3 linked regions of the Rattus norvegicus genome follow. The protein of the gene in region 1 binds, or shares a complex with, the protein of each later gene. Links are inferred from orthologs where the notes say so. Each region holds a gene or a part of one and is shown in the gene's direction. Other genes may lie near its edges.

Evidence for each region.
Region 2: the proteins of Cnnm3 (region 1) and Ptp4a2 are in contact, whole or in part, in a crystal structure (PDB 5K25), measured with the Homo sapiens proteins. The link is inferred for Rattus norvegicus from reciprocal best matches to the Homo sapiens genes CNNM3 and PTP4A2. Residues at the interface, in NP_060093.3 of Homo sapiens: Leu390, His391, Phe392, Val393, Phe394, Asp396, Thr397, Glu405, Ala414, Gln417, Val419, Glu424, Gly425, Asp426, Pro427, Phe428, Tyr429; in NP_001356788.1 of Homo sapiens: Met1, Asn2, Arg3, Pro4, Asp69, Gly70, Cys101, Ala103, Leu105, Gly106, Arg107, Arg134, Arg135, Gly136, Ala137, Phe138, Asn139, Lys141, Gln142.
Region 3: the proteins of Cnnm3 (region 1) and Ptp4a3 are in contact, whole or in part, in a crystal structure (PDB 5TSR), measured with the Homo sapiens proteins. The link is inferred for Rattus norvegicus from reciprocal best matches to the Homo sapiens genes CNNM3 and PTP4A3. Residues at the interface, in NP_060093.3 of Homo sapiens: Ser357, Asn358, Phe394, Asp396, Lys418, Val419, Asn421, Glu424, Gly425, Asp426, Pro427, Phe428, Tyr429; in NP_001425170.1 of Homo sapiens: Asn5, Pro7, Asp72, Gly73, Ala74, Val105, Ala106, Leu108, Gly109, Arg110, Arg137, Arg138, Gly139, Ala140, Ile141, Asn142, Lys144, Gln145.

The regions. Positions count from the first base shown.
Region 1 is NC_086027.1:46,261,189-46,264,261, forward strand, and holds part of Cnnm3 (metal transporter CNNM3 precursor), read left to right. Parts: intron 1-164; coding exon 165-303; intron 304-2,280; coding exon of another isoform or gene 2,281-2,330; exon of another isoform or gene 2,331-2,379; intron 2,380-3,073. UniProt on the Homo sapiens protein: Probable metal transporter.
Region 2 is NC_086023.1:147,471,882-147,475,378, forward strand, and holds the end of Ptp4a2 (protein tyrosine phosphatase type IVA 2), read left to right. Parts: intron 1-260; coding exon 261-391; intron 392-1,676; coding exon 1,677-1,751; intron 1,752-2,639; coding exon 2,640-2,748; 3' UTR 2,749-2,927; downstream 2,928-3,497.
Region 3 is NC_086025.1:107,547,074-107,550,535, forward strand, and holds the end of Ptp4a3 (protein tyrosine phosphatase type IVA 3), read left to right. Parts: intron 1-1,007; coding exon 1,008-1,138; intron 1,139-1,676; coding exon 1,677-1,751; intron 1,752-2,443; coding exon 2,444-2,561; 3' UTR 2,562-2,876; downstream 2,877-3,462. UniProt on the Homo sapiens protein: Protein tyrosine phosphatase which stimulates progression from G1 into S phase during mitosis. Enhances cell proliferation, cell motility and invasive activity, and promotes cancer metastasis.

The DNA.
Region 1 (3,073 bases):
GCTCTCTCTATTGGTGATCCTAACACTAGGCCCAAAACCAAAACCCCTTTGCCTTTCACCAGTTTAAAGTCCCGCCTGTCAGAGGCCAGAGGCGGGAACCCTGCTGTCTGTCTGTCTGTCTGTCTACATCTGCTAGGTAATCTCTCCATTCTCGTGTCCTCTAGGTCACACGGCTGCAGTACCTTAATGCACTCCTGGCTACCCGAGCCCAGAGCTTACCTCCATCTCCAGAGAACGCTGAGCTCCAGGCCATCCCGGGCAGCCAGACCAGGCTCCTTGGTGACAAATCCAGAGAGACAGCAGGTAAGTACCACACAGTGCATTGTGAAGTGCTGGGGCCCAGGGTTATGTGGGACGCCGCTTCTGCTCCCTGTCTCCCATCCTTCTGTTTCTCTGTGCATCCTTTTCCTTCTTGCCGTTTGTAGGGACTTAGATTATACCGAATTATATAGATCAGCTGGCACTCCAAATAGAGCCCAGCCTTTTCTCTCTGACCTCTTGGAGATGGCTTAATTGGTTCTTGATGGATGGGGAGATGTGTAGTTTAGAAACACTCAACCCACTTAAGATCAAGGTTAGGTCTAGAAAATTGGGTCCTGGCTCCGAGGACCACTTGGTGTGGAGCTGAGTCAACAACACAGTGTTGACAGTGAAGGTCTGTAGCGCTGGAAACAGAAGGCGCCTGGGTGGGGGACGGTTTGCATTGTGGGTAGGCACTGGCCTGCCTAACAGTCCCTGGTGTGGGGTTTTCTGTTGTTTGTTGATCAGTCCTTGGATAAGGCTCAGGATTGTCATGATGAGCCTGGGAAGTATTCTGGAAAGCAGGCAGGCAGGCAGGCAGGCAGGCAGGCAGGCACTGTCCCTCACTCCATTCTGCCACCTGAGGGAGCCAAAGCATTCACTCTGCAAGCACCATATTTAGAGCTGCTGTCTCCACTGGCAGAGCTACCCAGCCTGAGAGGTGGGAATGCTGGGCCTGTCCAGTACAGGAGGGCCGGCGGCTCCAGCCTCCCAGGAGCTTAGAGCTACGGCCACCTGAGATCACAAGCACGTTTTTACAGTAGTACTGCTTTCTGAATCAAGAGGCGTGGCGATACACAGGTACAGAGGACAGAGACCCATGGCGCTGAGCCACGGTGATGACTCAGCCCTGTGGGCTATAGCTCTAGTATTCCTGAGGGACAGCCTGTGAGGCGAGGCAGACCTTGCAGTCCTAGCCGTGGGCACGGGTCACCTTCACTTTCAGAAAGGCAGGTTTAGACCATGTCTCAGTGCTTACCACTGCCTTGTGCAATACCCCAGAGCAGAAGTTCACACGGTCACGTTAGCTCTATCGAGACTTGTTTTCAACATGAACTCAGACTGTGCAGGCTGTTTTCAGTGTGCAGACCTGAGCTGGGGACAGTAGTGCTTTCTGAGGGTGCTTTCCACTGGGGATTTTTTTCCCCTCCTTCCCTCCTCCCCCTTCTGTCTTCCCCTTCCACTTCGCTTCCTCCTCCTCTCCTCCTTCCCTGCCTCTAGAGCCTTGCCCACAATAGGTGGCTTTCTACCATTTGAGCTGCACCTCTGGTCTCAAGAGATCGTTTCCATTCCTCTTGACTTTGCCGACTCTTGAGGCTATCCTATGGGAGAGGACTTAGAGTGGCTTGTGGGCCATTTCTTCTGTGTAACAGTTTATCCACCCTGTTTGCCAGCCTAATGTTGGCAATTTTCACCTAAATATGATCCGATGCTTGCCACATTGAGATGGACCTAACTCTGGGGTCTCCCTGTGTTTGTCCCCAACTCTGAGATCAGTGTTACTGCACAGAGCTGGTTTCGGTGGAGCACTGATTAATACAGAGAGAGACTCAGGTCCTGCAGACTTGGGCACTAAATCCCTGACAGAAAAGTGACATTGTTGAAATGTTTGAAAGGTATAAGAACTTTAAATTGCTACATTGGGAGTCGGCAAACTGTGGTACAGGAGCCTCATTTGGCCGACGCATGAGCTCATAAATAAGGTCTTATTAGGGCCTTATTAGGGCCCGTCTGTTTGGGTTGTGCCTGGCTGCCTCTGAGTGGCAGAGGTGCAGCTGAGTACTTGGGACATCAGGTGACCTGCAAAACCTAAACTCTTGGCCCTTTGCCAAGTTCTCTGAGTCCTGGTGAGTCCTGCAGCCCTGCGATTGGTGCCTTCCCAGCAACCCTTGCATGGTACAGAGCTTGATGTGGAGCTGAAGCGGGTCCCTGCCACTCGTCATCAGCCTGTCTCCTTCTCTCTCTCTCTGCTCTCTTCAGCCTTCCCAGTTCACCTTCCCCTCTTTGGCACACTTGGAAACTGCAGTTGATAAATGACTGTGGACTAGTGAGCATTTTTTGTTTTAAGAGAACACCAAGGTAAATATCTCCCTCCCCCTTTTCTTTGCTTTCCTTTCCCACCCTTAGCTGTTGGCCGACACTTTGGGTAGCTTCCCAGGCTGGGGCGCTTCTCTGTGGGAGGAGTCGGGAGAGGTACTGTATTTCACTTTCCCGGTATTTACTTTTTCTAGAAGACGGGGATATGAGACACCTGGTTAGTCCTGGAACACTAGGCTTCCTTGTAACTGGAGCACAGCAGCTCTTGGCCATCCACGGAAGCTCTTTTTGCCCAGCATAGCTGCCTTGAGCCTCCCGTAGTGAAAACTGCATAGCACCCTGTAGGCACCATGACTCGTGCCTATAATCTCAGCACTCCAGGATGAGGGAGGATGAGGATGAGGCAGGAGACTGCCTTGAGTTTGTGGTCACTCTGCACTACATGGTGAATTCCAGGTCACCCAGCAAGACTTTGTCTCAAAACAAAATAAGGGCCGGCCATATGGCTGCGTGGGTAAAGATGCTTGGTACTAAACCTGGTGACACAGGTTTGGTCCCCAGGGCCTTAGAAGGTGAGAACTGATTCTCAGAGATGCCCTTCTGACCGCCACACTTCTGACACCCCAACACATGCATACCCTCACATGTGCGTATGGACACACCAAATAGTATGAGACGCTGGCTTACTTCGAAAAGTAAATTGAATAAATTAAGTTTAAAGGCAACTATGGTGGTA
Region 2 (3,497 bases), on another chromosome or scaffold:
AGGGATACCCAGGGAAACCCTCTCTCTGAAACAGACACAGACTTGCACGCATGCACACTCGTGGTGTGAGGTGGTCAGTGGTGACTCACGCCTTTAATTCCAGCACATGGGAGGTGGGTGGGTCTCCCTGTCTCTGGGGGTGGGGGGGATTAAAAAGGAGTAGCTAAGCCTGTCTGTCCTGACTGTTTTCAGCTCTTTTTTATTAGGAAGTTAGTCCCTGAGAACATACCAGCTTGATGTAAGAAGTCATTTCTTTTCAGGACTGGCCATTTGATGACGGAGCTCCGCCCCCTAATCAGATAGTAGATGATTGGCTAAACCTGTTAAAGACCAAATTCCGGGAAGAGCCAGGCTGCTGTGTCGCAGTGCATTGTGTTGCAGGATTGGGAAGGTAATTCCTCTTTTTCTGAGATCTAAATAAGCTAAGCTTCTCATCGTGGCCGAATCTGCATTCAGTAATTAATTGATACTAAATCACCAAAAAGGAAGTGAGAAAATGCCAGTGTAATAAGCTCTAATAAGAGCCTTTTGGGTTGGGTCTGGATCTGATTTTAGTGCCATACTGAATGTAATGAAGGTCCTTGCCCCTCTTTCAAGAAGAGATTTAGGTCATTAAGTGGGTGACAGAATTACAATTGTTTTAGAGATTAAATTATCTGTACATGGTTGGGTTTGGATTGAAAGGAAAGGAAATGAACTTAGCAGGTAGAAGGTTACTTTAAACTCTTTAATAGAAATGTGTACATAATGAGAATTGTCTGTGAATGTAAAATCCTTCTCACCAAGCATTGCTTTTGATAGTGCTTTATACTTCGATCAACAGCAGGATAAATGCCAGTTTTATGGTGTGCACTGTGACTCAGAACATTACTGTGAGCTTAGCCCCTTTAGTATGGCAAGGTTTCTTCATGAGGTTGGAAGGTTCAGTTCTCCTGAAGGTTGATGGTGTGAGGCCTTCCTGGGTGGCTTTATCTCTATCGCCTGTCTCAGATAGTTGGAGGCAGTGCTCTATTAATGTGCTTTTAAAACATTTTTTCTTTTTTAAGAATAGAGACTATAGCTGGATGGTCGTGGCACACTCCTTTAATCTCAGCACTTGGGAAGTAGGAGCAGGTGGATCTCTGAGTTGAAGGCCAGCCTGGTCTATAGATCAAGGATAGCCAGGGCTACAGAGAAACCCTGTCTCAAAAAACAAAGAAAGAATTGAGAAGCTGAGTGCAGTGTAGTAGGAGGCAAGGATGGCTTGTGAGTGTTAGGCTGGCCTGCGCCTCATAGTAAGAACCTGCTGTAGAGGAGAACATCAGTTACTGAGTCGGAGCGGGAAATACTTTTGTTCCTGTATGTCCCCATTTACCCACTCCTATGTCTGTCTGTCTGTCTGTCTTGTCTGTCTGTCTGTCTATCTATCTATCTATCTATCTATCTATCTATCTATCTATCTATCTATGATACGTGGTCTCTTGTTTTGTAGTCCTGACTGCCCCAGAACTCATTGTGTAGTTCAGGCTGCCCTTGAACTCGAGGTTTGCCTGTCTTCCAAATGCTGGGATTAAAGGCATTTATGCCACTATACCCAACACAAGCTCAAGTTGGAAATGAGTAAGCTTTCAGGTAAAAAGTAAAACTCTTGGGATTCTCAGGGCTTGTGGAGACTTACGGACGGCTTCTCTCTACAGGGCTCCTGTGCTAGTTGCACTTGCACTGATTGAATGCGGAATGAAGTATGAAGATGCTGTTCAGTTTATAAGACAGTGAGTATGAAGCTGTATGTTCAGACACTTGAAGCGGGCTGTGCATGAGGAAGAGGTTATGGGATGGAGTCATTTGGAATATACAAGCACTGGCTGCTTTGGGCTTAAGACACTAAAGGTAGAAAAAGAAAGGTTAAGGCAAGTGACAGAGACTGAATACCATTGGCATTTGTGGATTGTTGTTCTGATTTTGATGTCAGTATATCGTTGGATGTCTAGGAATCCCGACAGTGATTATTGATCAGTGCTGCTTGTATTGGATTTTATAACAGCACCAGTGCAGCTCCATAGGACCAGCAGGCAAAAGCAGTGCATGAATTGCATGAAGGAACAGTCATCACTTGGCAGTCTTGAGAGAGTGGCTGTTCTCATACACATATCCCCATAGTCCGGGCATTGATCTGAAATCATAGGCCATATTGTTCCTTTCTTTAACAAAATTAGAGCATGCACATCTGTCCTGAACCTGAGGCTTTGTCTTTGTAGGTTATTTTTTAAAGCATCCTAATCCCTGTTTGTCATTCTGATCTGAAGACTCTGTTAATCTAAAAGGAAAGAGTGATCTGGTGTTCAAAACCCTGCTGGTTTCTGTTAGACTACAGTAACAGGCAGAGAAAGAAACTTGGGAGGCAGAGGCAGGAAGAGTCTGAGTTTGAGCGGTTTATACCACAAGTTCCAGGACAGCTAAGGCTACACAGAGAAACACTGTCTTGGAAAACCAAAAGGGATGAAAGGTCATGTTTCAACTTTCTCAAGTAATGAGGTATGGGGGTAGGCAGGCTTTTAGCTAGGGAGGGCGAGCTAGAAGGCGTTAGTCTACTGACAATGCATTTCAGGAAGCTGTACAGTTGTTTGCTACATGACAGCGCACTGCTCTTGTATTTTCAGAAAAAGAAGAGGAGCATTCAATTCCAAACAGCTGCTTTACTTGGAGAAATACCGACCTAAGATGCGATTACGCTTCAGAGATACCAACGGGCACTGCTGTGTTCAGTAGAAGCAGAGGAAGGCCGGCTGGATCGTGGCATTAGAGGGAACTCTGGGTACCTGGAAATGTGAATCTGGATTCTTACCTGTGTCATCAAAGTAGTGATGGATTCCGTACTCCTCGACTCCTCATGATTGAGAAGAAGGCAAACGATAAAGAAATCCCTCTATAACACGAATAAAATGTTTAAGAAAAGAAAAAAGAAAGGAAAAGGGATTAATTTAGTGAAAGATGATTTTGCTCCTAGTTTTGGAGTTTTGATTTTTGCCAGGATTGAATTATTTCAAATCTCCTGTGTTTTTTAAGCTTTTTCAAAATAGATGTCTGAGGAAAACCAGCAGAATATTAACCAGTGCGGAGCCAGTTGTTGGGGAGCACACACTTCCATTATGCTTGGCACATAGGTCTCCTTGTGGTGGGATTTGGGGGAGGTAGATTTTCCCTCTCTCCTGCCTCCCTCCCTTCTCCTGATAGACGTAGATGGAATAGAAAGAAACCCTTGTTGCTGTAGATGTGCGTGTGTCTGGCAGCCTTAAGCCCACCTGGGCACTTTTAGGAAAAAAAAAAAACCAAAAAATAAATAAATGAATAAATAAATAAAAATAAAAGCAAAGAAAAAGCAGTGGCGCATATATTCTATGGTCCAGGCGGTTTCTAGTCTGTTGATAATGGATGCTGATGTTAGTTTTTTTTCCCTTGCAGCCCTGATCTACCATTAGGGCATGAAAGGTAGCCAGGAGCCTTTGGTTTTGTAAATG
Region 3 (3,462 bases), on another chromosome or scaffold:
ACCTACAGTACATAGAGCTCTGTTGTACAGGTGAGGTGGGGCTCAGCATGTGCTTGCCTGGCTATGCTTTGCTATGGCTCCCAGGGGCCTCTCTTCAGCCTCTCATGGCCTGCCATGTGGGAGCCCATCTCCTGGCAGCAGTGGGTCCCGGGAGATGCTGTGCAGAGGCCATGGTCCTAGCTGCTGTTTCCTTAGCTTCCTTACCCTGGGGGCTCAGCTAAGGGGAGGAGGAGCAACTTTGTGGAACTGGTCATAGTGCTGGGAGGCCAGAGGAGAGACAGCCATAGGAGCCGCCTCTAGCCTATTGCAGTTTCCTGGAACAAGGCCTCTCTTCCCAGTGCAGAGCTCAGATGAGCCACGCCTTACGCAGCAGACCCTGGCTGACTGTGCAGAGGCCCTGGCGCCCAGCCCACAGCACCATAGTGACTCTAGTTCACCCCACTGTGGGGACCCTGTGTCAATGGGGTCTCAAATCCACTGCCTATCAGTTTGTAGAGGAAGAAGACCTTGGGCTCTCTCAGGCCTGGGGGAGGGGAGGGAGTCCTGTTGAGCCTTCCCTCCTGTGAGGTCCTGCAAGCCCAGGGCCTCCCATACTGTGGTTGTTTAGGGGAATGTGAGCACGAGGCAAAGGTATATCAGCATCTCTCAGTGCAAGGTTGCCCCAGCGGACCTCCTTCCTTTGTCACAGGAGGGATTTGGGTTAGACTCAGGATGGCCACTTAAACTGGAGGCCTCTAGGAGCTTCTGTTTGGAGGCAGAGACCCCAAGGACTCTTTCCCAACATCTAGCTCCTGAAGACCCATGTTGGTTCACCCGTTCGTACCAATAGGTTCAAAATGGTCCCTTCTCCATCTTCCCCACATCTTCCCCACACCAAGCTCCAGCATACCCTGGGCTGGAGCCTTCTCCTTGTGGGCTAGCCTCTGCCTCCCACATGGAAGTCTTAAGGGACAAGGGAAGGAAAACTAACATCCCTAGGGCAAGTCCTCAGGCCTCTTCCTCTGCAGGACTGGCCCTTTGATGATGGGGCGCCCCCTCCTGGCAAGGTGGTAGAGGACTGGCTGAGCCTGCTGAAGGCCAAGTTCTACAATGACCCGGGCAGCTGCGTAGCTGTGCACTGTGTGGCGGGCCTGGGAAGGTAAGTGACAGGTGGGGCTCATGTTGCTGTTGGAGGCTCCGCTTACACCCCTGTAGTCTAACTTTATTGCTTCGTGCATTTGGATGTGGGTTACATCTGCTATACCTAAGGCCCGGGGAGGGCTTCCTGTTCTGATCCAGTCACTGCACCTCATGCAGAAAAAGAGCTGCCACAAAGACATGCTGGTCATCCAGGCCTGACCCCAGCTTGGGAGAGAACAGCTGCTCACACTAGATGGAAATGAGCCAGGCAGGAGAGCGTCCCCGGACACTCGGATTGCAGGAGGGCTGGAGGGCGGACTCATTCAGTATGCACATAGTTCTTTTTCTAGGTGCTTAGGCACAGAGAGGTTGTCTGCATCCCTCAGGCTGAACAGGAGGGGCCAGACCTGTCTGGAGTCCGTGCTCTCCAAGGGCAACTGAGGGAATTGGGGGTCAGTTATGCCCTCATGCCCCGTGTCTTTGTCAGGTAGCACGAGGCAGGGGGATGAGAAAGGGTGCGGAATCTCAGGGAACTTCAGCTCTGCTTGTTCCCACAGGGCTCCAGTGCTCGTGGCTCTCGCTCTCATCGAGAGTGGGATGAAGTACGAGGATGCCATCCAGTTCATCCGACAGTGAGTAGCCAATGTGTGGGCGGAGCTTTAGCGCGTGTGGGCGGGGCTTAGGGAATGGGGCGGGTCTTGATAGCTGGGCGGGGCTGAGGCTGTCCCTGTGGCCTTTCCTTGCCCCTCGCCTCTCACTTCTGTAGCCTTTCCTGTGAAGTCCCCTTCTCTACTCTCCCTGGATGCTTCCAGGCCGATACCTCCTTGTGGTATGGTAGCCTTCCTGGAGGACCCCCATCTTCCTGATCTTTCTGGGCAAAGACTGCACAGCTGACACTGTACCCCTAGCCTGTGGCATGTGTGGGACATATCTATGTATAGGCACCTCTGTGCTGCCTGAAATAGGCACAGCCATCTCTTGTTTCCCTGGGGCAGTCCCATAATGGCTGTAGTAGTACGGCCTACTGGTCTGCAGAGGTCCGTAGGGGAGCCTGGGCTATGCAGACTGGTGTGCAACCTGAAGAACGGCACTAAATACAGACTCACAGTTCTCTTGTACAGCACTGAGGAGGTGCTGGCTGGCTAGGGAGAGATGCGCTCCCCAGCCTTCACGAAGCCCAGGCCTCCCTGTTTTCCCTGGAGCACCAGCTTAGTCTTATTTCCTGTGGGTCTGTCCAGTCAAGGCCTCCAGGGTCTGGAGCTCCCAGGGGCAAGCAAGGTGTCCAAGCCAGACTTCATGACCCAGCGTTTGTCCTTGTCTGCAGGAAGCGCCGTGGGGCCATCAACAGCAAGCAGCTCACCTACCTGGAGAAGTACCGGCCTAAGCAGAGACTGAGATTCAAAGACCCACACACGCACAAGACCAGATGCTGCGTCATGTAGTGCGGGTTCTGGCTCTGTACGCCCTGTACTCCATTACATCAGGGTCTAAGGAGTCCAACGGCTGTGTGCGTTCCTGCTCTGTCCCCATCTGTGCCCACGGCTGTCTTTCTGAGGCCGTCCCTGGACCTTCTGCCAGTCCTGTCCAACCCCTCCACCCACTGCCCGGGCCTCTTCCCCCTGGCCTGTGTATCGCAGGTGGGCTCTTTTTAACCACTGGGCCGAGAGCCTCAGCGGCGGCGCCCTCACCCTCACCTTTCTCCAGCACCTTTGTTACCAGGTGCTCTGGACTCTCAAGGCAATAAATCAGGAGCTGTGGATGTGTGTGAAGAGTGATGCAGAGCCAGGAATGGGGTGTGGGTCCTGGGAGGCCATGGTCTCCATCTCTTCCGTCCTATTGCTGCTGCTGCTGCTGCTGTGCGCCTCCTTGGCGCCCTCTGGTGTCCATACAGTGCTCTGCACCCTGCCTTGTTTAAGCTCTTGACACATCAGCACCGAGCCACAGCTTGGACTGGTGACAGTTGAGGACTGAATCACCTCTTCAGGTTAGAGCAGGGGTCACTTGCAACGTTCAGTGACCTCCATTCCCCACCTTCATGCGACCAGTGGTTTGGGGTACAGGTAGATCTGAGTGTGGTGGACTTGGGTGACGTGGGTCTGCTTAGGACACCCTCATCCTGCTCATAAGTTCTGAGCAGTGGGCTGGCTGGCCCTTCCCTTAGCCGAGTAAAGGGTGGCACGAGGGACAGTGTCAGTGTGGATGTACCGTCTGTCTTACGGCATGGACACACTTCTGGACGTGATCCTCAGGCCTTTGTAGACCCAGTCCCTGCTGTACCCAGAACAGACCCAAGGTGCCTGTAATTACTGCCTGCTCGGATGGTTCCCTTTTCAAGTTCCACCT